Saccharomyces cerevisiae S288C: one gene and its partners. The protein of the gene in region 2 purifies or fractionates together with the protein of the main gene of each other region. This does not show direct contact. Each region holds a gene or a part of one and is shown on either strand. Other genes may lie near its edges. The genes, in order: YTM1, RLP7, NUG1 and ERB1.

Region 1 (7,138 bases), on a different chromosome or scaffold from region 2:
CGACTTATCTGAGTTTCTTTTTTTTGCTTTTTTTTTTTTTAGCCCATTTTTTTTTTGACGCATTAGTCGTTAATGATGATATAATGTCCACGTGATGACATTTCAATCTGCAACAATAGCTCGGCAACTGGATTACTAGCAGTCATACGTATGTCAGTCACTACACATATATATATATTAATGTTTAACTAATTTTTTTTTCTTATCTATCTGATATTTATTCTATAACTATATAAATTTGTCTCTTCACTTCTAAATACCTCTGTTAAAATAGACCTTTTCAATTGGCTTCCCATCCTTATCCTTCTTGCCATGTAGTTCAGGTTCTAGTTTATTTAAATGGATTGCTTGTCTTTGAGGGAAGATACCGAGTGCAAATGGCAAAGCTGAGAACATTGTGACTGAGATCAACCCCAAATTGGCCAAAGTTTGCACACCGAGAGACTTACCTTTGAGGACACCGCGTTGTAGTCTAACCAAAATCAAAGGTGGGATGACCATAGTTGGAGTGGCGTTAATCACTCTACTTAATGCAGTTTCACCAACTGCCATGAAGGCAGCCTTCTTGGACTTTCCGACTTCGTCACCGTTAGAGTCAAACACAGAAATACCCTTTCTAATTTCGTTGCCTCTCATTAGGAAGACGTTGACAATACCGGCACTGACCACGGCGGCAAATGGCACCAAACGGCCCAAGATCAACTTTGAATGTGGAGAAATGTTTTTCAACCTGGGAACTAGGTTATTTAGACCTAACGCAACACCACACGACGCAGTTACAGCGGCAGCGTAATTGGTGAGCAATTGGGACGTGGACATAGGATGAGATTTGTTTGCGTTAGCGGAATTAACGGCGACGTTTAGCGATTGATTTGCCCATTGCCAAAATACAGTCCCTGCCGTACCCAAACCAGGCGTCAGCATACCTACAGTAACGACTAGGTTTGATAGCACGTTGGAAGACATACGGAAGGGCAAAAGAACTGTCTTCCCTGTGTCCGGATGCACGGTGGAGTCCAGTTGTTTCTTGGCTCGCCAGAACTCCGGAGTAGTCTCTTTTAGTTCACCGTGACGATACGCACTGATGATTTCTCTAGCATGCGCCAGGTCCTTCTCAGTAGTTAACAACATAGTGGGGTCGGAAATCTCTGCGCAATGGCGGATTCTACCCCAATACGTGGATAAGTCATAGCGGGATTCGGGCAAATCGATGGGCCCTGGGACTGATGATGCCATATTTCTCTGCCTTGTTTATTTTTTTCTTTCGATGCTGTGTGGTTTTATTATTGCTAACTTGCAGTGGTCGACGCCTTTGAAAACTGTAAAGCTGATGCGAAGACCTAACAGTCTCTTATCCAATTACCTCAATCTGGTACGCTCCGGTACCGGACGCCAGTACGAAAGAAAAACTTTTCGTTCGTCTCGGGCACCATTGGTATAAAAAGCGCCGAGGCAGCGATCATTTTTCTAGTATTACTCTTCTTTCATTTTTTAGTTATCTTTGATTTTCGGTTCCGAAGAAGGCATGATACATATTAAACATGCCTTCTATTCACTGTGCCATCTTACATCCGTAGGTGATCAGAGGGGAAAAGAAGAGCTAGAGCAACTCCCACACTCATGAGCGTCCTCATACTGTTCTGGGCGCTTCTCACAGGTGCTTCTTTTAGTGTCTCCCATTGGCCCAGATCGGTAGCTGCGCGAGTGAGATATCTTTCATTCATTTATATTTATCTGTAGCAATAGCTTCCTTTACTATTTTATTCTTAGGGAGAACTTTAGCTTATTTCTTGCACAAGAGGGTTTGACAGTTTTCTGTTACCCGGCCAGTACTTCAAAAATTTTTCAAAAATTTTCTGAAGTGCTCATCTCATCGCAAACCGTAGGAGCAGTGAAAGGCATATGCTCATCTGTATAATTGCAAAAAGACATATTCTATGTTCGCAGAACCAATACGTTACCTAAAGTTTTAAAGACAATACCAAGGGAAACTGCACAAATTCAATATGACAGAAGATAAATCGCAGGTTAAAATCAGGTTTTTCACGCGTGAGAAAGATGAATTACTACATGTACAAGATACTCCAATGTACGCCCCCATCTCATTAAAGAGATATGGGTTGTCCGAAATTGTCAATCACTTGTTGGGCTCGGAAAAGCCTGTTCCTTTCGATTTCTTGATTGAAGGTGAATTGTTACGTACTTCATTGCACGACTATTTGACCAAGAAAGGTTTATCGAGCGAAGCCTCGCTGAATGTAGAATATACCAGGGCAATTCTTCCACCATCCTATTTGAATAGTTTCAGCAATGAGGACTGGGTTAGCTCATTGGATGTCGGCGACGGTTCCAAGCATATTATTAGTGGTTCTTACGATGGTATAGTTCGCACCTGGGATTTATCAGGTAATGTGCAAAAGCAGTACAGTGGTCATTCTGGCCCAATCCGTGCAGTAAAATACATTTCCAATACAAGGCTAGTTTCGGCTGGTAACGACCGTACTTTGAGATTATGGAAAACCAAAAACGATGATTTGAAATTAACTTCACAACAACAGGCACAGGAAGACGATGATGACGAAGTAAACATAGAGGACGGTAAGACACTGGCTATCTTGGAAGGTCATAAGGCACCAGTAGTCTCTATTGATGTTTCAGACAACTCAAGAATATTATCTGCATCATACGACAATTCTATTGGGTTCTGGTCTACTATTTATAAGGAAATGACAGTTGTTGATCCATTAGAAGATATAAACAATCCAAACAATAAAATATCCACTGCTGCTAGAAAAAGGAGAAAATTGACAATGAAAGATGGTACCATTAGAAGACGTGCCCCTCTGTCTCTGTTAGAATCCCATACAGCTCCTGTTGAGCAAGTGATCTTCGATTCTACAGATAATACCGTTGGTTATTCAGTATCACAAGATCATACCATCAAGACATGGGATTTGGTCACCGCGAGATGTATAGATACAAGAACAACATCGTACTCGTTGCTTTCCATTGCTCAATTGTCGACTTTGAACTTGTTAGCATGTGGGTCCAGCGCCAGACACATCACATTGCATGACCCACGTGTGGGAGCGTCTTCCAAAGTTACTCAGCAACAACTAATTGGTCATAAGAACTTCGTTTCCTCTCTGGACACTTGTCCCGAGAATGAGTATATATTATGCTCGGGTTCTCACGATGGTACCGTGAAGGTATGGGACGTCAGGTCTACTTCTCCGATGTACACCATAACAAGAGAAGACAAATCGGTCCAAAAGGGCGTCAATGACAAAGTTTTTGCTGTCAAATGGGCTGAAAAAGTGGGTATTATCAGCGCTGGTCAAGACAAAAAGATTCAAATAAATAAAGGAGACAACATTTTCAAAAACTGAGAAAAAACTGTTGTTGTTTTTATGTAGAATAATGTACTGATATACTTGAAATAAATTTGGTTTTGCCAACAGCTTTCGCAAATTTCTGTCACCTTCTTCTTTATGTAAAACGACATTACTTGCTAAAAAAAAAAATACTTCTATGATAATGTGTACTTGTATGAAACTTCTATAAATTTAAATTGGTGAATTTTATCCAGCTATCCCCCAATTTACTATTTGAATATATGCAATTGTGATCTGTCTTAAGACCTTTTCAAACCATTCTGGCGGAAGCATCGGTGGCCATTTCCGTATACGAATAACCGTCTTCATTATCCTTGATAGCTGAGTATAAACTATTGGAAATGGGTTCATTACGATTTTGCGCATGTTGCCCGTCCTCGCGATCAAACGAGGCAGGAACGGGCTGCGTATGGGTCCTGCGCAGAGATAGCCTTTCACCTGGTTTTTCTCTAGTCGAAGGGTCTGTTTCCATGGTCCTTAACGTGGTCATCCTTGTTAGATTCAATTCACCATCGACAGCATTTACGTCATCTATACCACCTTCGGTCTCAGCCTCCTTTTCCATGGCGGCATAACCAAATTGTGACTTGTGTCTTAATTTGCTCCCCCATTTTTCAAAAACCCATGGAATTGGAATCATCACAACGCAAACTAATGCAAATAAAGTGCTTGCCCATTTGATTTTCATCTTTGTGTACATTTGGATGGTAAACAATGGGAATACACTACTCATAACGTATCTTAATAGATTATTGGCAGCCAAACAGGATGCCACAGTTAATGGCGGATAGCATGTAGAGAAGTACATTAAAACGCTGAAAAAAATCAAAATTAAACCAAAACCAAATGGCACACCGGCAGCCACAGGAGCCATCCAGTGGACATCTGATCTAGCAGTCCAGGCTTGCCAAAACAGGCCGATAGGCAAAGCTACAGAACCAAATTTACAGGCAATTAAAAATTTTTCTGGAACAACGGGTAGCAATTCACCTGTTTCAGCGTCTCTTGCACCTCTGTAAGGGGTAGTCCTTTTAGAAGTTCTCTCTTTTTCGGTGAGTGGTTGAGTGCCAGCTGGTGGTTTAGGGAAGAGATATTTTCTGTCGATGTAAAGGTAAAAGAAAGCACCTATCCATAACCCGACACCAATACCAATAAATGGCAAGCCAGATATCCCCATAGACATGTGGTAAACACCACGATAAATGACAGCGTATGCTTCGAAAAATCCAAATAAAATGGCGAATATGAAAGCGACATAAACACTGAAAACAAATACAATAGGTTCAACGACAAGCATTTTTAAAGGCCTTAAGATTGTAATAGTGACAGTGGTTTTTAAAAATTCTTTCTGAGCTTCCCTGCTGAACTTCTTCAAGGCTATATTTCTCTTCTTGGCACGCTTTCTTAAAATAATACCTTTATGGGTCTCTGGCATGAGCGCAATAAATGGCAAGATTAGACCGCCCGCAATCAATTGGATCCATTCAGACCAACGCCAGCCTTTGGCTTCAGTAGCAAATCCTGCCATAATAGGAGATAAAACTGGCCCTAAGAATGGAGATAGAACAAAGTATGTCATTGCGACGGAGACCTGGTCCACGTCAAAGATATCCAGGATGGTACCTGATCCAACGGATAAGGCGGGGGATGCAAAGACACCTGATAAAAACCTTAGGGGTAGAATTATTCTCATGTGGCCATTGGATAACCCAACACCCATGGTGAAAAGCATTGACACAGGTAGGGAAAATAAATAGACAGGCTTACGACCAAACACTTCACTTAATGGAGCGCCGATGACAGTCGATAAACCCAGAAGATAGAAAGTTAAACCAGCAAGCGCCAAAGTCTGACTAACGTGATATCTTTCTACCAATTCTGGTACGGAAGAAACATATAGGGAACTACCCATTGTGACGACCAAACAAAGAAAAGCTGAAGTCATAGTAGTATACCATTTCTTCAAAGAGGACCAATTATGCGGATTGTCTGGGTCATCGGGCCCGTCCCAATCGAGATCTCTTGGGTCAATTGGCTCGCCCCCTGTCATGTTATTGGAATCTGCATTCGGTTCTGATCTTTTTTCGTCCTCTGTTATTGACCCTGTCGAAGAAGAAGTCGAATCCAAGTTGCCGCTATTAGTTACATTTTTGTCCAAGGCTTTTGGTACCTGCTGTATGTTTGTTCGAGGATCTGAGTTAGATTCGGTTTTTGTCAAAGAAGAAGGCATTAGTAAAACTTAAAATATATGTATACGATGTCTATGCTTCTTTGTGTGTGTATGTGTGTGTATAAGATGGTATCTTTATTCTGTAATTTTCAGGAAAGTGATGACTAGAAAATCGATGTGTCAGGTACAACAAATTGACAACCTATAACTTTCCATACAGGCGAATATATATATACACATAAACACATTCAAGCCTCCGGTACCGTTTGCTCTGACAAGGACAATTAGCATGTAAGCACGAGTGCGGGTATGCAATCATTTCAGTGTTTCCTTCATTTGGCATAGTGTCGTAACACGGATTTAAGGTGAGCCGTCAGGGGCTTTTAAGCGGAGCCCCTGCAGCTTCATGAAGACGGAACCGCACGGGCCTATTACCTCGGGGATAGATCAATTATCCGAAGCGGGTCACAACCCGGAAATAATAACCACTATGCCCGACCGTACCGACGTGGCACTATTTTTGGGATCCGTGGAAGTCGGCCATTAGTGGTAATCGGCGAAAACAAGTTTATTGCAGCTAAAGCACGCCATACGGTTGATATAAACAGCAATTAGGCACTTTTTCTCTTATTATTCATATGCCTTATTGGCTTGTGGCTTGTGGCTTGTAGCCTATGCAAATGCATTTGCTGATAGCAGCATAAGAAAGTTGGGAAGAAACGCTAACTGTACTTTTTATATCCAGAGTTCATTAGTTGATCTTTTACCCCAATAATTTCTTCCACTTGCGGCCTGCTTCTTCGCATTTCTCCCATTCCGGGCCGCGACTCCGTAGTTCTTACAGAAACAGCCGCCTCCATAACCATCTATGATAGGAAAAAGATGGACAAACAGGAAAAGAGCTAGGGAGTATAACCTGATTCCTGACATGTATAGGATTCGGGTAATTTTGAAATACGAAGCTCTTTGCATTCCGAGACCGGTTTAGGAAGATTTATTTACATATCTACTTGCGCTATTGTGGTCATGCCTTCGAAAGATAAAGAGCGAATTTTGCTCGTATAAGCTAAAATCAGGTAAAAGTTCCTTATGTTGCTGCTCCTCGATGGCAACGTCGATCTAAGATCTTGATTACTGAATCAGGCGAAAGCACACGTTCATCTTTCGCTCATCGGAAAGAAAATTAAAACAGAAAAAAATTCTAAAATGGCAAAAAAGAAGAAAAGCTCAGTGAGGGCTGTATAGTTTATTAGATAAGCTACTATACGTACATATCTTTTGTAAATAGAACCAAAAATCTTCATGCTAAAGGGACCGCTTAAAGGTTGCTTAAATATGTCTAAAAAAGTTATAGTGATTGCTGGTACAACAGGAGTAGGAAAGTCTCAGTTGTCCATACAATTGGCACAAAAATTTAATGGCGAAGTTATCAATTCGGATTCTATGCAGGTATATAAAGATATTCCTATTATAACAAATAAACATCCGCTTCAAGAAAGAGAGGGCATTCCTCACCATGTAATGAATCACGTAGATTGGTCAGAAGAATACTATTCCCATCGTTTTGAAACTG
Region 2 (7,158 bases):
TATGGGGTATCCATTCTTCAGGGAAGCCCTTACACGAATTAAGTATGACGTTGCCAATTCGATGTCTTTTATATCTAACTTAAGTTCATCCCGAAGAACCTTACTCAACTTGTCTTGTAACTCCTTTCTTTTAGATTCCCTGACCTCTAACTGCTTCAAAATATTAGGTTTTGCGAGATAGTCTTTTCTAGAAATAGAATTTTCTTCCTTATATGCTGCCCTTTTATTTGTTAACTCAAAACGGCCAAACCTCCTTACGGTAGGCTCAAAATGAGGAGATGGCAGTTTCAAATCACGCCTCAAGGCAACACCAATGAATTTTCTTTTAGGATGAAAAGGATCAAGATAGTAACGAACAACACCAGGTTCTAAGGCGAATATGGAATGATCTTTCCCTATACCAACGTTTTCTCCAGGATAAAACTTTGTTCCTCTTTGCCTCATAATAATTTCACCTGTGGAAACATCCTGGCCTTCATATTTTTTTGGTCCTAACCTTCTTCCTGCAGAATCCTTCATACTTGTTCTCGAGCCCGCAGCCCTTTTGGTGGCATTACGCACTTGAAGGAACACACCAGACACATGTTTTTGGAATGAAAAACTAGAAGTATCTAGTAAAATAGGATTCCACATATTCTCACCTTAGGTTAAGCTTGAAATATTATGACCACCCAAACTGGCGAGTTTTATTTTTACAATGAGCCAACTTCATTCTTCAGTGAACTATCTTGAATGAGTCTCCAAAGAAAGAGCTTTAAAATTCAATAGCGGAACGTCAGATATCGAAACACCCAGTCATAACAGCCAAATTTGCATAATTGGTATAAAAACAGTGTGTATAACATTACAGAGAAGCCGTTGTGTGAAAATCTTTTTAGTACCTATTCAACCAAACAATTGAACTTGAACACCAAACTCTAGCCATCCTTATCCTCTTCTGGTCACTACATATACCTCAATTTACGTCTTTCCTTGGGTCGTTTCAAATGACTCTCTTTGTTTAGCGAGGGAAATGAAAAAGTAGAGTACTGGCTGAAAAATTTCATAATTATGTTTGCTCATGAGTTCGAAAACAGTTTGAATGAGCAGATAGAACGCCAAATATTAAGTTAACAGGATATGTCTGATCAAGAACGAGGTTCAGAAAACGTATGTTTCATTGATAAGGGAGGTGAAGAAAAGTTTGTAAAATGAGACTTTATGAGGTCATTGGAATTAAATAGACATCAACGAATGGTGAGTCACCATTTAATGCTGCCTTCAAAACGCTTGCTTCAATGTGATTCCACTGGTTAAAGGGGGTTTTTTGAATGCATTGCTAATGTTTATCTACTGGCTATGAAAGTGAGAATATCAATTATAAATAAAACCCTGATTTTCTACCTGCCATGCTATAATGTACAGTTTATTCCAACTTTGAAACGCAATGACTTATTGGTCTCTCTCATTATGAAATTTAGTTACTTTTACTAATGTTATTCATTGTTGTAGAATAATCGAAGTAGATCGAGGTCGAGATCACCTGTTCGTCGTCGGATGAGTGATGATCATGGTTATGAAAGAGACAACCATTTGTCCCGGAGGTCAGGTAATTATAACGGTAGGCGTAAGTTCGCAGATACGTACAGAGGAAGCAGAGATAGAGGAGAATATAGAGGAGGTAGAGAAAGGTCTGATTACAGAGAAAGAGAAAGGTTCAATAACAGAGATAATCCTAGATCTAGAGACCGTTACGATGATAGGCGCAGAGGAAGAGATGTGACTGGTCGTTATGGGAACAGACGTGATGACTATCCTAGAAGCTTTAGGAGTAGACACAATACACGTGATGACAGTAGGAGAGGCGGTTTTGGTAGTAGTGGAGCAAGAGGTGATTACGGTCCTTTGTTGGCACGTGAATTGGATAGTACATACGAAGAAAAGGTCAATAGAAACTATTCCAATAGTATATTCGTGGGTAATTTAACATATGACAGCACCCCCGAAGATCTCACTGAGTTTTTTTCACAGATAGGAAAAGTAGTCCGCGCGGATATAATTACATCAAGAGGGCACCACAGAGGTATGGGTACAGTAGAGTTCACTAATTCGGATGATGTTGACAGGGCCATCCGCCAGTACGATGGGGCCTTCTTCATGGATCGTAAAATCTTCGTCAGGCAAGATAATCCACCACCGTCAAACAATATCAAGGAAAGGAAAGCACTCGATAGAGGAGAGCTTAGACATAACCGAAAAACACATGAAGTTATTGTAAAAAATTTACCTGCTTCCGTTAATTGGCAGGCTTTGAAAGACATATTCAAGGAATGTGGGAATGTCGCACACGCTGATGTGGAATTGGATGGCGATGGAGTATCCACTGGATCTGGTACGGTGTCCTTTTATGATATTAAAGATCTGCATAGAGCGATTGAGAAATACAACGGTTATAGTATAGAGGGTAACGTCTTGGATGTCAAGTCTAAGGAAAGCGTACATAACCACAGTGATGGAGACGATGTTGATATCCCAATGGATGATTCTCCCGTTAACGAAGAAGCTCGAAAATTTACCGAAAACGTTGTCGGTGGAGGTGAAAGAAATAGACTCATATATTGCAGTAATTTGCCATTTTCAACTGCAAAAAGTGATCTTTACGACCTTTTCGAGACAATCGGAAAGGTTAACAATGCTGAATTAAGGTATGATTCCAAAGGGGCACCAACTGGAATAGCTGTCGTTGAATACGATAACGTCGATGATGCAGATGTTTGTATTGAAAGATTGAATAATTATAACTATGGGGGTTGTGATTTGGATATATCGTACGCTAAACGCCTCTAGAACTACTCTCGATCTATATACTTTCTCACCTATTGGATCTGCGACAAGTATTTATTCATTCTTGACTTATTTCCAGGCTTTTTAACTTTATAATGTCATTGTGTATACGTATAATCTGAAAAAATTTCGAAGACTTTGAAGAAGACTGTGAAAAGAGTCTGATTTTTCCAATACAGTGAAAATGGGTTTAACAAATATCCAAAAAAGTACTTTGAACAGATATCGTAAATAGACGACTTTTTTATATGAATAACAAAAAATAAACAACAGACAAGAGGCCTCAGAAGGCTTACGTAAAGTACGTAAACGATCTACCTCTTACAACTGGTAGTTGCTTTTGCTCTATGTTTTCATTACGCTCTCATTTCTCCAGCCGTTGGGAAACTTTTCGATAATAACGAATGAACAGTTTCATACATGCCTAGGAAGATAGCACCACCTGCACTGATCCACATTGTCCGGGGCCCCACTCCACTGAAAAATACAGCAGGACCTTCCTCTCTGTAAATCCTAATAATAACGCTTCCAAGTGAGGCGGTTGTTTTGTTGAGCATTAATCTGGTTTTCAAGAAATCTAATGGTGTCGTTGTAGCTGCTGCGATCCCACCCGCAATAGAACCGCAGATAGCCCCTTTCCATGGCTCCACTTGACTTTGGCCATTGGCTTTTGCCCAAGTCTTTTTTAGATACTCGTATAAAGGAAACTGTATACAAGTAAACGGTATTTCTCTCATAATGGTGGTAGACCACCCTCTATAAAGATTTTTCCTTAAACCTTCCTTATTGTCATTTCGTAGAATTGACTGTAAAGTCTGCCAGGAAGAATTGGTAGAGTGAACTTGCGTCCTTTGCTTAACGACTTCTGCGGGAACTCGAACAAGACAAGCACAAATTTCACCAATGGAAGAGGAAAGCATGTGCGTTGTCGTATCAATCAATTGCTCAGATCCCTGTGAGTAAAGTTTGCTGATATATGGCCTTGATTTTACTTTCATATAATCATAACTAATAAAGAAAAGTGAAGCACCTGGCGCCGATGCTACAACAGCGCTTCCCAAACCACGATATATGCCTTTGTATCCTCCATTAGCAAAGAATCCACCCTTAGCTTGAAGCCTGGTTTTAATTGTGTCTATAGGGAAAAAAACCAAATCCGTAGAGGTACCAGCAGCGGCGCCACTTAGCAAGGAAAGAAAAAAAGTATTCATAGCAAACTTTTCAAAGCGAATTTTAGTTCATCGGTGTGTCTAAACATATAAAATCGCCAAACAATTTACAACAAGTGGAGCTTTAATGATCTCATATATTCTCGAGGGTGCACCCCACTGCAAATGTATTTATATACAAAACAGCGCTCAGTAAGCGAGGAAAAAAAGAGGCGCCCGTGCTTTTGCCGATACATAAACTAAAAACCAATAAACTTGCCAAAATACGTATATTCTTCAATCCATGAGGCACCACTAATTATATGCAAAAGCTCAATATCTGCTCCTTCAATGGCATTAGATAACTAACAACCTATGTACTATACAATTTTAAAATACTCTCTTAATTAATTCAACTTGGCTAATAAAGAGTCAATGTCAACTTCGATAACTGGTGCTGTAGCTGCATTTGAAAATTGACGAGTTCTTGATTCAGCCTCCCGCTGTTTTATTTTCCTTAGCCTATTCAAAGAACCAAATCCAGATACTTCTCTATTCAACTTGAATGGTTGTAAGAAGAAGTTACAAACAGAAAAAGACTCACCCATAGTGGCAATCTCATGAATAATATCTTCAACACAAATTATTCCATGATCTCCTAATTGCTCCTCGACAATATTGTTGTCATTAAGAACTATTTCGTGAGGTTCAGCCTCATTCTCACCCTTATAGATTATTCTACCTCTCTTTTGAATCAAGGAACGGATAGAAGATAAAGAAGGCTTGCCAATCACTACGTATGGCGCAATAACCTTGAGCAACGGATATACGTTTTTGGTCAATTTGACGAAAACACCAGTATTAGTTTCAACTAATCTTAGCAAAGACAAAATCTTAAATGCTTTGTTTGGAATATTTACAGCAAGCGGACCTCTTACTCTGACAATGAAAAGTAAAGCAGGTTTGCCATCGTAAGTAGTCTTTTCTCTGATTAAACCATCGTCTTCTTCTTCTTCAGTCTCCTCCAAGTCGACAGAGTTCTCTTCGGCGCCATTAGCTTTTTCTGTTATTTTCAGAATAAAATCTTTCCCAGATGCAATATGCTGCGTTTCATTCTTTGCCTTCTTATCTTCTAATATAGACACTCTTTTAATTCTTTCCTTTTCCCTAGAGGTAGCCAAAGTCTTTGCAACTATACTTTCAGCTCTGACAAATTTGTTCTTATTACTTCTCTTTTTTTTGATTTGTTCTTCCCTCTTTTTCTTAGCTAATTCTTGTCTTTCGATTCTAGTTCTATCAGCATTTCTTCTTTTCCTCAAAAGAATTTCTGGATTAGAATTAAGAGTTTGCGCTTTACTGTCTTGAGTTGAAGACATTGTGACTTGTATATCTTATTCTTTTTCCCTGTGGCAGCCTCTTCTTTCTAGGAACTTAATAACGAAAGTACCAAACAACTTAGACTTTTCTCATCTCATCGCTTCCCAGCTTTTTTTAAGCAGAGCTGAAAAAAATTTTCTTTTTACCAAAAATCCGTACTGCGTGATGAAAGTGTACATACATTATTCAATATTCACCTAGTTTTGTATATTAATGTAAAATGTAATTTAATGAAGATCCCAAAAAATTAAGCATTCGTTGCTGCATCGTTGTCATTTTGTTCAATTATCGCATTCCTATCATAGCAAAAATATGAAGGTTATTAGTCTGAAAAAGGATTCTTTTAACAAAGGAGGAGCAGTGATTACTCTTTTACCGGAGGACAAGGAAGATCTGTTTACTGTTTATCAAATAGTAGACAAAGATGACGAGTTGATATTCAAGAAAAAATTCACCTCTAAACTTGATGAAGCTGGTAAGAAAAAAAGTACAGATTTGGTCAAGTTGAAGATTAAAGTAATATCCGAGGATTTTGATATGAAGGATGAATATTTGAAATATAAAGGTGTTACTGTTACAGATGAAAGTGGAGCTAGTAATGTTGACATACCTGTCGGCAAATATTTGAGCTTTACCCTTGACTACGTGTATCCCTTTACTATCATAAAACAAAACTTTAATAAATTCATGCAAAAGCTCTTAAATGAAGCCTGTAATATCGAGTATAAATCAGACACCGCGGCGGTCGTTTTACAGGAAGGGATCGCCCATGTTTGTTTAGTGACATCCTCCTCTACTATTTTAAAACAAAAAATTGAATATAGTATGCCAAAAAAGAAAAGGACTACTGATGTACTGAAGTTTGATGAAAAAACTGAGAAATTTTATAAAGCAATTTACAGTGCAATGAAGAAAGATTTGAATTTTGATAAATTAAAGACTATTATTCTTTGCTCTCCAGGTTTCTACGCTAAGATATTAATGGACAAAATTTTCCAGTATGCCGAAGAGGAACACAATAAGAAAATACTCGATAACAAAGGAATGTTCTTTATAGCCCACTGCTCCACGGGCTACTTACAGGGCATTAATGAAGTTTTGAAAAATCCACTATATGCTTCAAAGCTGCAAGATACTAAATACTCCAAAGAAATCATGGTGATGGATGAATTTTTGTTGCATTTAAACAAGGATGATGATAAAGCTTGGTATGGTGAAAAAGAGGTAGTTAAAGCGGCTGAGTATGGCGCAATTAGTTATTTACTGTTAACAGATAAAGTTTTGCATTCAGACAATATTGCACAAAGAGAGGAATATTTGAAACTGATGGACTCCGTAGAGAGCAATGGAGGAAAAGCATTGGTATTAAGTACTTTGCATTCTCTTGGAGAAGAACTTGATCAATTGACGGGTATAGCCTGTATTCTAAAATACCCGCTCCCCGATCTTGATGAAGACGATGGTGAGGAGTAGATTTACTATGTAAGAAAAAAGTAATGTACACATAAAATTTGCAACCCTATAATAAATCGGATTATTCTCTTTACTTCTTCCCTATAAGCAAGTAGATGTGAAGCCGCAATTAATTGAGTTGTTGTGAAATGGTTCTAGTTAGTCACGTGCAGCTTTTTAAAAATATTTTAAAACATTTTAAAAAATATACATTTTTTTATTATTTTTTTATATATTAATGTTAAAATTTATTTATGTATTTGTCTTCCGAAAAGTAAAATAACGTTCAAATTTGGTATTTAAGGATATCTGCGTTTAGGCGCCTAGCAAAAAAATGCCGAACTAAGAAATTATATTA
Region 3 (7,621 bases), on a different chromosome or scaffold from region 2:
GCGTAATTCACTGGTTTTACCAGGGGTTAGTGTACACTTTTGACTCAGTAAGCAATTACTAACATCATCATCGATAGATTCACAAGAGAAGATGTCCATTCACGTTCAAAGGTCAAATCTTCAATTCAAAGAACGTTAAAGGCCAAATTGGTCAAGCAGTACCCCAAAATAGAAGATGTTATTGATGAATTAATTCCTAAGAAGAGTCAAATCGAGTTGATTAAATGTGAAGATAAGATCCAATTGTATTCCGTCGATGGTGAAGTTCTTTTTTTTCAAAAATTCGATGAACTGATTCCAAGCCTGAAATTAGTACACAAATTTCCAGAGGCTTATCCCACTGTTCAGGTTGATAGAGGTGCTATTAAATTCGTTCTCTCAGGTGCTAATATCATGTGCCCTGGCCTAACTTCTGCGGGTGCCGACTTACCACCTGCTCCTGGTTACGAGAAAGGTACGATTGTAGTCATCAATGCCGAAAATAAAGAGAATGCATTGGCTATTGGTGAATTGATGATGGGTACTGAAGAAATTAAATCAGTGAACAAAGGTCATTCCATAGAATTGATTCACCATTTGGGCGACCCCTTATGGAACTTCAGCGTTGAGTAACAAACGGAGCCGTCAACACTATATTACTATCCATCTGCTACATAATAAAATAAAGAAACTAAGAAAAAATTAGAATAACATCCGCTTACAATCTAAAAGGCTGTTTCCTGATTTTTAAATATGCAACTAGCCAAGATTAACTATATACTGTGATTACGATGGGCTGTTAACCTTCTGAATGCTCTTGTTATTTACTGGAGACGAAACATGAATAATATCTCCGTTCACAACATTAAAATCTGAAATGGGGCGAAAATTATACTTTATTTCGTTTATCATCCCTTCAGAATTTTCATGAAATAACTTAACATTCAGTATGTCAAAGTTTAGCTTTCGACATATTACACTCTTAACGTACCTTACTGTAAAACTGGGAAGGACCCAATAATCTAAATCACTACTCGGCTTCTTGCCAGCTCTTATCTTTATTTTTAAGACAAGAGATTGCCGTGTTTCTCTTTCATTGTTGAAACTTAGCTTACTCATATCGATTTCATACGACTTTATGAGGCTTGACCAACGCGGCAGATTGGTGTCATAGCTCAATTCGTTATTCATTACCTTGGAAACAAAAAACATCTCAGCCTCTCTTCTTGTTTTTACATCACATATTGATCCATTCAATACCATCACACGATCAAACCTAGCCAGTACTTCATAAAAAGTAGCCTGTTCTTCGACGTTAATATAATTTCCGTTGTAGTTGAATTCGTTGCCACTCAGATGGATATTTTTCAAAGAGGGAAATGTCTTATTCAAATCATCTATCAAACTTCTTTCCTTAAATTTGTTATCTGTTATATCCAAGGATTCAACAGAATAAATAGCAATACTTGGTGCTCTAGAAATTTGATTATTGGAGACATTTAAACCTTTCAATGTCAAATTTTTTGGAAACAATGGAAACGATATAAGATTATTTCCGCTAATATTCAGTTCCTCCAAAGTACACGGTATTTCATTCTCAAAATTTTGGATTCCCGCACTGGTCAAGTTGTTATAGCTTAAATCCAACATTTTCAGTGTCCTGAAGCTTTTGAGCAGCTTACCAATATGTTTATAACTTAAACCACAGGAAGACAGACGTAAAGTTTTGATGTGTGATAGGTCATATTCTTTCAAGTTGTCCCAACCGCTTAAAAGTTTATTTTGAGATATATTAAGGCTCTCCAAGTTCTTCAAAGGTTCTATGAACTCACATAAAGAGTTGATATTCGTGAATAGATTAAGCGATAAATCAAGGTCCTTGACGTTCACACAATTTTGTATTACACGGTTTAACTCATCTTGATTTTGAAACAATATAGCGACATCGGAATCTCGCAAAGCTATTTTTCTTAACTTCTTATAATTCTTATTTCTCGCATTTAGTTCATCGAATCCCAAACCCTCAACCCTTTTGTTACCTATAGATAGGTCATTAATGTTATTACTCGAGCCTCCATACTTTTCTGACAATGCTTCGTAAAACGTAATTCTGCGTACACCTGGAGATTTAATCTTAGACTCCTTCAAAAATGATCCTGAATTAGGAATTTGAACGTCAAAATAGTGTATGTCATCTATTGTTCCAGAATGTTTTCCCCGGCTGTGATCGTCCCATTCCACCCCATAAGCTTTTACCGAAGGCCACGGCTTAATAACACCTATGAATTTGATGGTGCAAAAATATCCACCAATCTTGAGTCTGTCCCCAATTTCATAAGTCATGCTATCTCTGAAATTCGTTTTGCATTTTATATTTTGTATATCTTATATATGAAACATAATAAAAGTTGGAACTTTTTAATGATTTCTTTGTCCAAAGAGCAAAAAGGCAGTAAAACTAAAAAAAATAAGATGTATAGTAATGAGTTTAAAAGCACACCTATAATTTACAGTAATGTTATTTGATGATAAAGAAAAAATAAGAAACACCCCTTACATAAAAATAGCCTTACATATGACTTATTTATTCCATCATTGTATCTTGATCTTTGCTAGCATCTATGGCCTTGTCAAGAGAGCTAAATAATCCATCCAAATCAAATTCTTTGGACCACTCGGATACAATGGTGGATTCATTTGCTGCAATTGGAGCTTGTTTAGTGCCAGTGTTTATAGTACTTAGATTTTGTTTATCTTGTTGAGATGCAGCTGCCGATGTATTTGGTAAAACCCAACCAAGAATTTTACCATCCCTCCAGTCATTAAGTACCGAAAGACCAGCACTGGCAAGATTTGGAATACCGCCTTTCCCTAATCTACCTCTTTTACGAGCGACGTGAATTAAGAAATGTTTTGTAAACGTATCTGCATCATTAGCAGGAATAGGAGGAATTTCATACAGCTTTTTAAAGCTCTCTGTCATTTCATCTGATTTAGCTAGTCTCTTTACCAACATTAAGACAGCTGGATACGGATCAACAATGTGTTTTGCCGGTAGAGCATTTAGAAGAGCTAATTCAGCTTCATGTTCAACTTTCGATCTTTTCTTATTTTCGCTTGGGAAACATATACCAGGAGAATCTAGAATCTTCAACTTGTTGTCGATTTTGATCTCTCTCAGAGAGGTAGTAACACCTGCTTCATTACCGACTGGGCAAGCCTTTGATTGACCTCCACGGCGCGCCAAAAGAGCGTTGATAACAGATGATTTACCAACATTTGGATAACCGATAACACCCACTACAATAGATCTCTTCAAATTGCTGTTATTAGAGTAAGTTTTCAGCGACTCTAGCAGTGCACTTGCAGTAGTGGTTTGGCTTAGCTTTCTGTTGAAAGAAGTTCCGTTGACTGCACCAGAAGAAGCTCTTAATGGGATTGTAGGAAAACTAGACTTTAAGTAATTTAACCATTGTTCCAATACATGTGGGGGAATTAAATCAACTTTGTTCAGTATTAAAATCAGCCTTTTACCCTGACTTTGTAAGACGGCTTCTTCCACCTTTCTTGATCTTGTACTCTCTGGATCTCTGGCATCCAAAACATATAGGATGACATCAGAAGCATCAATAACGGATTTGAAAATCTTGTCATAAGCTTTCCTAGATTTTTCAAGTTCTGACTCGCCTTCTACATCTTCACCGTAGAAATCAATGTTATAATCAATGACGTCCAATTCATCATCACGAACATCTGCATCATTAGAGGGTGTGCCCTCATATTCAGCAGCTGCTTGCTGAGCAGACTCAACCAAAGCTGCTAATCCATTTTCATCGTCTTCTATCATGTCTTCATCCATTGCATCAACGCCTTGTTCCTTGGCAGCTTTCCTAGCCTCCAATCGTTGTTGTTTGGCAAGCTCTCTTTCCTCTAAGTCCTTCATTTTTTTGGCTTCTATTTCTTCTAAGATCTTAGCCTTATAAGGAAAGTTAGAAGGAATACCAGGGTCTTTCTTAGACCTTGATCTCCAAGTAACGTCCTTCTTAGCCATCTTCTTTTCCTTTTTTCTATGGGCAGAAGCCTTCTTCTTAATACCTTCCTTCAACTTGGTAGATGTTCTTCTAGATTGGCGCTTTCTGACTCTCATTTTATGATATTATAGTCGTGACTGTATACCTATATGCTTGTTCTTGTGTGTACCAAAGTATTACTAGTACAATTCCCTCTTGATATAATTAGCTCATCTCATCGCCTCGCTCGAAAATTTTCAGCAGCTGTGAGAAAAAAATTTCAAAAAAAAAACAGAAGCGACGTTTAGAGTGACGTGAATCACTGTTAATGCAATACTATGGCACCTCACTAGATATATACATATATTTATGTGAGAAGTATATGCGCTTCTATTTATGGCACATACACCACCACATTCAATCATATAGCCTACTGTCCTTAAATTTGGAAAAATCAGCCATAGAAAACGCAGGTCGTAAGTTTGACGGAGCGAGATTAGCGGACTGACTTGCTGTCCTTTGTGGTTCGTGCTCCCTTTGCATTGTGGCTGAACTCTTACCAAGATCAAACATACTGCTACTCTTCATCCTGTACACATCTTTGAAGCCATCTACGTCTGTTCCAAGTTCACCTTCCTCCAATCTGGAAAATGGATCTGATCTCCTTAGAAATTTCAACCTTCTCCTTATGCCTGTCTTAAAGTCCTTGGTAATGTTGTACAGACCGGAAAAACGTCTTCTGATTATGTGTGACCTATGAAAGATCAAGTAAAATATGCAACAAATAATTGCGAACCACATCAAAAATCCTTTATTAGAAAGGCTGGAACTTTGCTTGCGTAGTTGATCAGACTCCAGTAACTTGCCAGGTATGAATTTCTTACCAGTGAGCTTAGTTCTTCTTTCACTGGGCGCAATACCCACCATGAAGTCATCATTACCTGCCAATATGCTACCTGAGGCATAAAGTAAAATTCTGCCTAGTGTCCACGATAACTCTCGTTCTTCGACTTTTTCCACACTTTGAAATAAGGGCCTGTCATTGACATTTTCTGCGTCGACATCTATTCGAGGCATATCAAACCCTTCATGAAGTATATTAAGGACCCAATTGCCCTTAAAGCATGCATCTTTCAAAAAATTCTCCGGAATAGAATTATACACGCCTTTATCACTGTTCGCTAATATTTGCGTCCAATTGGAATTGCAAAACTCCCTTAGGCTTTTGCTAAATTTGTCAAAGTTGTATTCGCCCCCAAGTTTGAATACGTCGTTGGCAGTGTACCAGTACTCAGAAGTACCTATAAATTTGTCATTGGCAAAGTCTATTCGAGGAGCATGAACACCATTAAACAAGCACGGCTCGTCATCACAAGGCATGTTCTTTAAAAGTAACGGATAAATAGATTTTGTACATTGTTCGTAATTCCCAGAACCCGCGATGTGAAATATGGTATCTTTAAATTCAAAATCCGTGCTGCTTCCTCGCGGCATACATGGATCATTCAAGTTCCTTGTAGAGAAGTCATCATTTTCGTAATCATTTGTGTTTTCTGGAAGGGTATTGATCAACTGAGCCAAGTACCTTCTTCTAGCCTGATTGGCACCAAACCCTAACCACGTACTAACAAAAACGTCCCATTTCTGCAAATCTCCGTTAACACTCCTCAAGAAGATGGTGGCGATGTCATCTCTATGTCTAGCTATTTCTCCTGAATCATGCGGTGCAAACGCAATCTGAGTAGAGGCACCGCCCATGTCCATAAACCCAAATGTAAAATGGTCAGAGACCTCTGGATTATAGTCATTAAAGTGTCCATATAGATAGTTTAAGCCAAGCCAGCCATATAAACCTTCGGTTTCACCATCAATGACTTGAATTTGTGCTGAGCAATCCTCAACCAAAAATTCTGCAGGGTGTTTGAGCCCCTGACACAAACCATCCAAAATGGAAGATTGTATGTCTTGAGGTAAAAGGCGCATGCCCGCGGTTGCTTGAATAAAAACGGGACAACTCGACCAATGTGATTCAGGGATAATATTCTTAGCAAAATCTAGTAACGGCTTGATGTGAGATTTGTACGCATCTTGAGGTTTTTTTTCAAAACTCGACAAGCCTGGATTCAGCTTAAAAGTCCAGTCTTTTTCTTGATGAATATGAGGTACTGATTGTAATATGGACTGTGAGTCCTGGTTTGTTGCATGAAGAAGCGATTCCGTGTCCTGCCACTTAAACACATGGATTCTCGAACCCGAAGACCCTGCATCTATGACGATACCAAACCGATCATTAGTGTTTTCTATGAGCATAAGAGGGCAGACGGGGAAATAAAAAAAGCCACGTTAGATATAGTATTTTACTTTATACAGCTAAAACGCAAATACGATATATACGAACGAAATAACATGACGATAAATCTCTGTTTATCATCGTTTCTTTAAAGAAAATAATGAGGCGAAAAAGTAAAAAAAGCTATGATTGTGTGAAGTTGTTGAAAATCCGTAATTCATTGAACCCGTACGCGCGCAAAAGTACGTCACAGTAAAATACAACTGTAGCTGCGAGAAGAAGCCGTTGGTTGATTTAGGTAGCAATCTTCTCCAGAGAAGCTGAGATGTCAAGAATGTCCTTGCTGGAGACAAACTGAACCTTGTCTTTCCCAGAAGTATTCAACGCCAAATGAACACCAACTTTTCCTACCTCATCGCCATAAACTGGATAGCCTAGCAACCTCTGGAATCTAGAACGGTACACGCGAGTGCCCAAAGCAGCAGTCAGATTGCCGCCAAATCCGCTTTGTTTAGAATTTGTCCGTTCACCAAGGAGAGGGCCTGGGCGCAAAATTATAATGTGCTTAAAATCAAGAGCGATAACATCGCGTTCAATCTCGCCCTTCATCTTCATGTAGCCGAACCTGGAGTCCGGATGAGCACCAGCGGAAGAAACGAGAACGATCGTTTCACATCCTTTTTCCTTGGCAGCCTGGGCCAATTGTAAGTTTAAATCATGATCGATCTTGTATTGCTTGTCCAAACCGCCTGCAGCTGCCCTTGTCGTTGCCAGTGCGGTGAATAGCACCTGCGGATTCATTTCATTGGTGATCAATTGTGACCACTTTGAATTATCCCTTTCTACTATGGCCACAACTTTATCAGTGGCCGGAAAGGGCAATTCCCTTCTCAAGATCGCGTATACCTTAGAGAACTGGGGTGCCTCCTGTGCGTGCCTCAGAAACCCGCCTCCGCATAAACCTGTAGCGCCTAATACCAACCCATTCATCGTTGCTTGTGCTCTTCTATATAATCCATCCTATCTTTCTCATCAGTAGGAGGTCGATCTTATGCAAAGTTCGCCACCAACAGCTGCAGTTACATCATATCGCGGAAACTCCGCACTGGCATCGTGCCGCGCGACAAGCGCAAGGATGAGAATCATGAAAACCTTGCTACAACAAGATGCCAATAAAGTCGTTCCCTGATATAGCTAGTACTTTGCGGGAGTAATTTGTTATTCTGCTTTCTTTTGCACTTTGATCATGCCAAGTCTCGTGGTGCACTATCCATTTCGTGCTGCTTGGTTATTGTAGCAATTTTTTGTCGCGTCCGTGTCCTTTTTCGCCGCGATTTACGTA
Region 4 (8,635 bases), on a different chromosome or scaffold from region 2:
GGTTTATCCATTACACGACCGTCGCGAGGACTCTATCCTCGATGTTTTTACTACGATACTAGCTTTTATTAAGAACCAGTTTCAGGCCAGTGTCTTGGTTATACAAATGGACCGTGGTTCTGAGTATACTAACAGAACTCTCCATAAATTCCTTGAAAAAAATGGTATAACTCCATGCTATACAACCACAGCGGATTCCCGAGCACATGGAGTCGCTGAACGGCTCAACCGTACCTTATTAGATGACTGCCGTACTCAACTGCAATGTAGTGGTTTACCGAACCATTTATGGTTCTCTGCAATCGAATTTTCTACTATTGTGAGAAATTCACTAGCTTCACCTAAAAGCAAAAAATCTGCAAGACAACATGCTGGCTTGGCAGGACTTGATATCAGTACTTTGTTACCTTTCGGTCAACCTGTTATCGTCAATGATCACAACCCTAACTCCAAAATACATCCTCGTGGCATCCCAGGCTACGCTCTACATCCGTCTCGAAACTCTTATGGATATATCATCTATCTTCCATCCTTAAAGAAGACAGTAGATACAACTAACTATGTTATTCTTCAGGGCAAGGAATCCAGATTAGATCAATTCAATTACGACGCACTCACTTTCGATGAAGACTTAAACCGTTTAACTGCTTCATATCAATCGTTCATTGCGTCAAATGAGATCCAACAATCCGATGATCTTAACATAGAATCTGACCATGACTTCCAATCTGACATCGAACTACATCCTGAGCAACCGAGAAATGTCCTTTCAAAAGCTGTGAGTCCAACCGATTCCACACCTCCGTCAACTCATACTGAAGATTCGAAACGTGTTTCTAAAACCAATATTCGCGCACCCAGAGAAGTTGACCCCAACATATCTGAATCTAATATTCTTCCATCAAAGAAGAGATCTAGCACCCCCCAAATTTCCAATATCGAGAGTACCGGTTCGGGTGGTATGCATAAATTAAATGTTCCTTTACTTGCTCCCATGTCCCAATCTAACACACATGAGTCGTCGCACGCCAGTAAATCTAAAGATTTCAGACACTCAGACTCGTACAGTGAAAATGAGACTAATCATACAAACGTACCAATATCCAGTACGGGTGGTACCAACAACAAAACTGTTCCGCAGATAAGTGACCAAGAGACTGAGAAAAGGATTATACACCGTTCACCTTCAATCGATGCTTCTCCACCGGAAAATAATTCATCGCACAATATTGTTCCTATCAAAACGCCAACTACTGTTTCTGAACAGAATACCGAGGAATCTATCATCGCTGATCTCCCACTCCCTGATCTACCTCCAGAATCTCCTACCGAATTCCCTGACCCATTTAAAGAACTCCCACCGATCAATTCTCGTCAAACTAATTCCAGTTTGGGTGGTATTGGTGACTCTAATGCCTATACTACTATCAACAGTAAGAAAAGATCATTAGAAGATAATGAAACTGAAATTAAGGTATCACGAGACACATGGAATACTAAGAATATGCGTAGTTTAGAACCTCCGAGATCGAAGAAACGAATTCACCTGATTGCAGCTGTAAAAGCAGTAAAATCAATCAAACCAATACGGACAACCTTACGATACGATGAGGCAATCACCTATAATAAAGATATTAAAGAAAAAGAAAAATATATCCAGGCATACCACAAAGAAGTCAATCAACTGTTGAAGATGAAAACTTGGGACACTGACAGATATTATGACAGAAAAGAAATAGACCCCAAAAGAGTAATAAATTCAATGTTTATCTTTAACAGGAAACGTGACGGTACTCATAAAGCTAGATTTGTTGCAAGAGGTGATATTCAACATCCTGACACTTACGACCCAGGCATGCAATCCAATACCGTACATCACTATGCATTAATGACATCCCTGTCACTTGCATTAGACAATAACTACTATATTACACAATTAGACATATCTTCGGCATATTTGTATGCAGACATCAAAGAAGAACTATACATAAGACCTCCACCACATTTAGGAATGAATGATAAGTTAATACGTTTGAAGAAATCACTTTATGGATTGAAACAAAGTGGAGCGAACTGGTACGAAACTATCAAATCATACCTGATAAAACAGTGTGGTATGGAAGAAGTTCGTGGATGGTCATGCGTATTTAAGAATAGTCAAGTAACAATTTGCTTATTCGTTGATGATATGATATTGTTCAGCAAAGACTTAAATGCAAATAAGAAAATCATAACAACACTCAAGAAACAATACGATACAAAGATAATAAATCTGGGTGAAAGTGATAACGAAATTCAGTACGACATACTTGGCTTAGAAATCAAATATCAAAGAGGTAAATACATGAAATTAGGTATGGAAAACTCATTAACTGAAAAAATACCCAAACTAAACGTACCTTTGAACCCAAAAGGAAGGAAACTTAGCGCTCCAGGTCAACCAGGTCTATATATAGACCAGCAAGAACTAGAGCTAGAAGAAGATGATTACAAAATGAAGGTACATGAAATGCAAAAGCTGATAGGTCTAGCATCATATGTTGGATATAAATTTAGATTTGACCTATTATACTACATCAACACACTTGCACAACATATACTATTTCCGTCCAAGCAAGTGTTAGATATGACATATGAATTGATACAGTTCATATGGAATACGAGAGATAAGCAATTAATATGGCACAAAAGCAAACCTGTTAAGCCAACAAATAAATTAGTTGTTATAAGCGATGCATCGTATGGTAACCAACCGTATTATAAATCACAAATTGGCAACATATATTTACTTAATGGAAAAGTAATTGGAGGAAAGTCCACCAAGGCTTCATTAACATGTACTTCAACTACGGAAGCAGAAATACACGCGATAAGTGAATCTGTCCCATTATTAAATAACCTCAGTCACCTTGTGCAAGAACTTAACAAGAAACCAATTACTAAAGGATTACTAACCGACAGTAAATCTACAATCAGTATAATTATATCCAATAATGAAGAGAAATTTAGAAACAGATTTTTTGGTACTAAAGCAATGAGACTAAGAGATGAAGTATCAGGAAATCATCTGCACGTATGCTATATCGAAACCAAAAAGAATATTGCAGACGTAATGACCAAACCTCTTCCGATAAAAACATTCAAACTATTAACAAACAAATGGATTCATTAGATCTATTACATTATGGGTGGTATGTTGGAATAAAAATCCACTATCGTCTATCAACTAATAGTTATATTATCAATATATTATCATATACGGTGTTAAGATGATGACATAAGTTATGAGAAGCTGTCATCGATGTTAGAGGAAGCTGAAACGCAAGGATTGATAATGTAATAGGATCAATGAATATAAACATATAAAACGGAATGAGGAATAATCGTAATATTAGTATGTAGAAATATAGATTCCATTTTGAGGATTCCTATATCCTCGAGGAGAACTTCTAGTATATTCTGTATACCTAATATTATAGCCTTTATCAACAATGGAATCCCAACAATTATCTAATTACCCACATATATCTCACCTTCTTACACTGTATATGATAATATATTAATATTAAACCAGTCAATAAATGTAATTGATTATTTCAACACGAAAACCTAACTATCAACGATATCACATAGAACAGCGAAGAGTTAGAAGATTTATTAGAAGATTTATTAGTATAGGTTATTTTAGATGCAATTTTTCAATAAAACCTGGTTTCGTGGTCTAGTCGGTTATGGCATCTGCTTAACACGCAGAACGTCCCCAGTTCGATCCTGGGCGAAATCATTTTTTTAGCACTTTAGCAGCATATTGCGGTATCGAATCATCTTCATGAATGGCGCAGATTTATTTGAACTGTTCAATCATAAATTAACCTTATGTGAATAGTCTGGGTAGGTTGAAACTTCGGAAATCACTTGCTTTTCTGAGGGCTGCGCGTAATCTAGATAGATCTACCTAAATGACACCGATGGCAACTTCAAGCTATACTAACTCCTAGACATTACTTTCTTCAGTATTCCCTTAGTGCCTGTTTTGAGCTATGAGATTGGTATTATTATTTGAAATATCTTCTATTGCGGTATCTGATTTTATATTTCTAGCTTTGTCATAAAATATAAAATACACAAATATATATATAGAGATAAGATAGATTATTTTTGATGACTTGCAAGTTGCACTAGGATTTGTTTTTCTTCTAAAAACCCCTTAAAGGTATTTCCAGAGAAAATATTATGCTGGTTATTCGATACTATTATCCAGTATACACTGACCTATGTTATAAGCAAAGGTTCTTCGTTCTGCCTCTTTAACAGGTGGAGTGCGTGCCATTATCATCAATGAAAGTTTAACATGTAATTGTCATCAGCTGTATACTGTTCGAATCTGTTCATTACGAAGGTTTAACTTCAAAAATCGAAAAGAAAAAAAATAGAAGATAAGAATATTGCATAGATCCTTCTTTTTTAGTGAAGTCACCGAATAATACATATAATGAAGTTAAAATTACAAACCGTGCAAAAACACCGCTGATTTAGAGTGGGCGATTTCATAGATCAAAAAGCAGGCTAAATATGAATTGAAAATTAAGTAGTCTACTATTTTCTGACAGCAGTGGCGCGCGACGGTTTCCAGGAAGTTTATTATTCAACGTGTCCAATTTTCACACGCTGCTTGACATCGTTATTCCCTGAACGCATTTTTACACTGTATGCGCAATTTGAGCCACTTTGATGGACTATTATGTATGAATAGCTTAGCTTAAAGAAGTAACAGTAGAGTGTTGAACCTTTAAGTGCTTGATGTACTCGAGCCTTTTTCTATGATACCTCACTCCAGAAAAAAGCGTTTAACATATCTGGCATTGAGGGTGGTCTCAAACAATAAAAGTATCCTATTTAATATTTTAACATTGCTGATAACCTAAAAAATCTGAACGTTGCCAGCATAAAACCTCAGCTTTATATCGTACTGAATAACATACTTACTGCAGGGCGAAATTTTTCTCAAATTGTGCCTAAATCGTTAAGTTACTAAACTTTTACGCGCAGTACTGGCATTGAGCGATCAATATTGTTTAATGCGTAGTGACGATCTTCTCCACTTATATTTTTTTATTCGTAGTTCTCTATTTTCGTTTCGATTTGTTTTCTCTGTCTACCAGATTAAAAGTGATTTGAAGTTTTTTATCATGAACTAAACAATAAAATTACAAAAAAAAAAAGTCAGCGTCACCAAGGATTGCTACCAATATACGACTTTACTGCTGTATTATCGAATTTTACCTTCTAGGATATTATGTAAAGTCTCTAGCAAAGGGAGAAAACTAATGTTACTAGGACTGAAGAACATTTTCCTCTTATAGTGTAAAATTGATTTTGACAAGAATATAATTAATACATTTTTTTTCTTTTGATAGCAGTATTGAGTACAATGAATTGAGCATTCAAGGTTCAACATGTGATAGTAGCTCTACCGCTAGTATGTTATTGCTAATTAAGTAGGATTGAATTGTCGCGATTTTGTCATTTTGGGTTTTAATAACTCTTGTACGGGTTACCCCATTTGTTTTTGAAGATTAGTGAAAAATTATTGAAAATTTTTTTTTTTTTGGTTTTGCGATGAGCTTATAATTTACATATGTGATATATTCGCATATAGATCCTAGCGAAGAAAGGTACTGTATTAAATCTGTTCTAACATAACTAGGTCAATGATGGCTAAGAACAACAAAACTACCGAGGCAAAGATGTCGAAAAAGAGAGCAGCTAGCGAAGAATCTGATGTCGAGGAAGATGAGGACAAGCTTTTATCCGTTGACGGTTTGATCGATGCGGAAGCAAGTGAGAGTGACGAGGATGATGACGAATACGAGTCTGCCGTTGAAGAAAAGGAATCATCTTCTGATAAAGAAGCCCAAGATGATTCTGATGATGACTCCGATGCTGAATTAAACAAACTGCTTGCCGAAGAAGAAGGTGATGGGGAAGAGGACTATGACAGTTCTGAGTTTTCAGACGACACAACTTCCTTAACAGACAGATTATCGGGTGTGAAATTGCAAACGATCGTTGATCCGAATATTTACTCAAAATATGCAGATGGCAGTGATAGAATTATCAAACCTGAAATTAATCCAGTTTATGATAGCGATGATAGTGATGCCGAAACGCAAAATACCATTGGTAATATTCCACTTTCTGCATACGATGAAATGCCACACATTGGATACGATATCAACGGTAAAAGGATTATGAGACCTGCCAAGGGTTCTGCTTTAGATCAACTGTTGGATTCTATCGAGCTACCTGAAGGCTGGACTGGTTTACTGGACAAGAATTCCGGTTCAAGTTTGAACTTAACCAAAGAGGAATTAGAACTTATTTCCAAAATCCAAAGGAACGAACAAACTGATGATAGCATAAATCCATACGAACCGTTAATCGATTGGTTCACGAGACACGAAGAAGTGATGCCATTAACTGCTGTTCCGGAGCCAAAAAGAAGATTTGTTCCATCCAAAAACGAAGCCAAGAGAGTTATGAAAATTGTAAGAGCTATCAGAGAGGGCCGTATTATTCCTCCTAAAAAATTAAAGGAAATGAAAGAAAAGGAAAAAATTGAAAACTATCAATACGATTTATGGGGTGATTCTACGGAAACAAATGATCATGTAATGCATCTAAGGGCACCAAAATTACCTCCACCAACTAATGAAGAGAGTTATAATCCACCAGAAGAGTATCTTTTGTCTCCTGAAGAAAAGGAGGCCTGGGAAAATACTGAATATAGTGAAAGAGAAAGAAACTTCATACCTCAAAAGTATTCTGCCTTAAGAAAGGTCCCTGGTTACGGTGAATCTATTAGGGAAAGATTTGAAAGATCTTTGGATTTATATTTAGCTCCTCGTGTCCGTAAAAACAAATTGAATATTGATCCTAATTCTCTAATTCCAGAACTTCCCTCTCCCAAGGATTTAAGACCCTTCCCTATTCGTTGCTCAACAATATACGCTGGTCACAAAGGAAAAGTACGCACATTATCCATTGATCCTTCTGGATTATGGCTAGCAACAGGATCTGATGACGGAACAGTCAGGGTATGGGAAATTTTAACTGGTAGAGAAGTTTATAGAACTACTTTAATCGATGACGAGGAAAACCCAGATTACCACATTGAATGCATTGAATGGAATCCTGATGCTAATAATGGTATTCTCGCCGTTGCTGTTGGTGAAAACATTCATTTAATAGTACCACCAATATTCGGCTACGATATTGAAAATAACGGCAAAACTAAGATTGAAGATGGTTTTGGCTACGATACTTTTGGGACTGTTAAAAAATCTAACCTAGAAGTGAACGAGAATGGTGATGGCGATGAAGATGGAGAGAATGAATCTGCTAAGAATGCTGTAAAAAAACAAGTAGCCCAATGGAACAAGCCTTCTCAAAAGCAACTAGAAAAGGATATTTGTATCACTATTTCTTGCAAAAAAACAGTAAAAAAGCTTTCATGGCATAGAAAAGGTGATTACTTTGTCACTGTTCAACCTGACTCTGGTAACACTTCTGTTTTGATTCACCAAGTTTCCAAGCATTTAACCCAATCCCCATTCAAAAAATCGAAGGGCATTATTATGGATGCGAAGTTCCATCCTTTTAAACCTCAATTATTTGTCTGTTCCCAAAGATATGTCAGAATTTATGATTTATCTCAACAAATATTGGTCAAGAAACTGTTGCCTGGTGCCCGTTGGTTATCGAAAATCGATATTCACCCAAGGGGTGATAATTTAATTGCGTCATCGTTTGACAAGAGAGTTTTATGGCACGACCTGGATTTGGCTAGCACACCTTACAAGACACTAAGATATCATGAAAAAGCCGTCAGAAGTGTGAATTTCCACAAAAAGTTACCTCTATTCAGCTCTGCCGCTGATGACGGTACCATACATGTTTTCCATGCCACTGTTTATGATGACATGATGAAAAATCCGATGATTGTGCCACTAAAGAAACTAACCGGTCATAAAGTAATCAATAGTCTGGGTGTTCTTGATGCTATTTGGCATCCGAGGGAAGCTTGGCTGTTTTCTGCCGGTGCTGATAATACGGCTCGCTTATGGACCACCTAGATAAATAATTTGAAGTAGATATTGTATAATAACGCCCAAGAAGAAAAAATCAAACACTCGAACCAGGCTCTTTCTACAAGCTTTATTTACACAATATATATAAACCTATATGTATAGATGCCCACACGCACGTTTGGATTATTACCTTCAATGACATTGCTAAAAGCCCATTTCCTTCATAGCATCCAACTCATCTTGATCTACGCCAAACTCATCTCCCCCTGGCAATAAATCATAATGAGTATGTTGTCCCTCTATATCATTCATTTCCCACTCTTCCAAACTTTGAATCAGTTGAACGTCTTCTTCAGTCATAGAGCCTTTTTCCATTTTTCTATGCGCATCTAGCCATCCTAATAAGAGCTTCTTCTCATTTTCTTCAAGGCCAACGGGCCCTTGTACCCTGAATGTCTTCAATAATGCATCCAAATCTTCCTTAGGCGGCACAACGTTGTTAAGTACCGTTTCATTATTCCCACGTTCGTCCAAAACTCGTCCTC

What was found.
Region 1: the proteins of RLP7 (region 2) and YTM1 purify together in Saccharomyces cerevisiae (affinity purification with mass spectrometry; 6 studies listed by BioGRID). This does not show direct contact.
Region 3: the proteins of RLP7 (region 2) and NUG1 purify together in Saccharomyces cerevisiae (affinity purification with mass spectrometry; 6 studies listed by BioGRID, with this or other methods). This does not show direct contact.
Region 4: the proteins of RLP7 (region 2) and ERB1 purify together in Saccharomyces cerevisiae (affinity purification with mass spectrometry; 7 studies listed by BioGRID, with this or other methods). This does not show direct contact.

Annotation. Positions count from the first base shown.
Region 1 is NC_001147.6:830,807-837,944, forward strand, and holds YTM1 (Ytm1p), read left to right. Parts: upstream 1-2,006; coding exon 2,007-3,389; downstream 3,390-7,138. Other genes in the region: FSF1 (Fsf1p), read right to left, coding at 253-1,236; TPO4 (Tpo4p), read right to left, coding at 3,646-5,625; MOD5 (tRNA dimethylallyltransferase), read left to right, coding at 6,868-7,138. UniProt on the Saccharomyces cerevisiae protein: Component of the NOP7 complex, which is required for maturation of the 25S and 5.8S ribosomal RNAs and formation of the 60S ribosome.
Region 2 is NC_001146.8:621,796-628,953, forward strand, and holds RLP7 (Rlp7p), read right to left. Parts: upstream 5,348-7,158; coding exon 4,379-5,347; downstream 1-4,378. Other genes in the region: mitochondrial 54S ribosomal protein bL27m MRP7, read right to left, coding at 1-633; HRB1 (mRNA-binding protein), read left to right, coding at 1,120-1,149, 1,492-2,826; PET8 (Pet8p), read right to left, coding at 3,180-4,034; ribosome dissociation factor DOM34, read left to right, coding at 5,661-6,821. UniProt on the Saccharomyces cerevisiae protein: Involved in the biogenesis of the 60S ribosomal subunit. May act as a specificity factor that binds precursor rRNAs and tethers the enzymes that carry out the early 5' to 3' exonucleolytic reactions that generate the mature rRNAs.
Region 3 is NC_001137.3:159,228-166,848, reverse strand, and holds NUG1 (RNA-binding GTPase NUG1), read right to left. Parts: upstream 4,127-7,621; coding exon 2,564-4,126; downstream 1-2,563. Other genes in the region: TMA20 (translation machinery-associated protein 20), read left to right, coding at 78-612; PAC2 (Pac2p), read right to left, coding at 766-2,322; YND1 (apyrase), read right to left, coding at 4,407-6,299; FMP52 (Fmp52p), read right to left, coding at 6,574-7,269. UniProt on the Saccharomyces cerevisiae protein: GTPase required for 60S ribosomal subunit export to the cytoplasm.
Region 4 is NC_001145.3:367,594-376,228, reverse strand, and holds ERB1 (ribosome biogenesis protein ERB1), read left to right. Parts: upstream 1-5,711; coding exon 5,712-8,135; downstream 8,136-8,635. Other genes in the region: CSM3 (Csm3p), read right to left, coding at 8,295-8,635.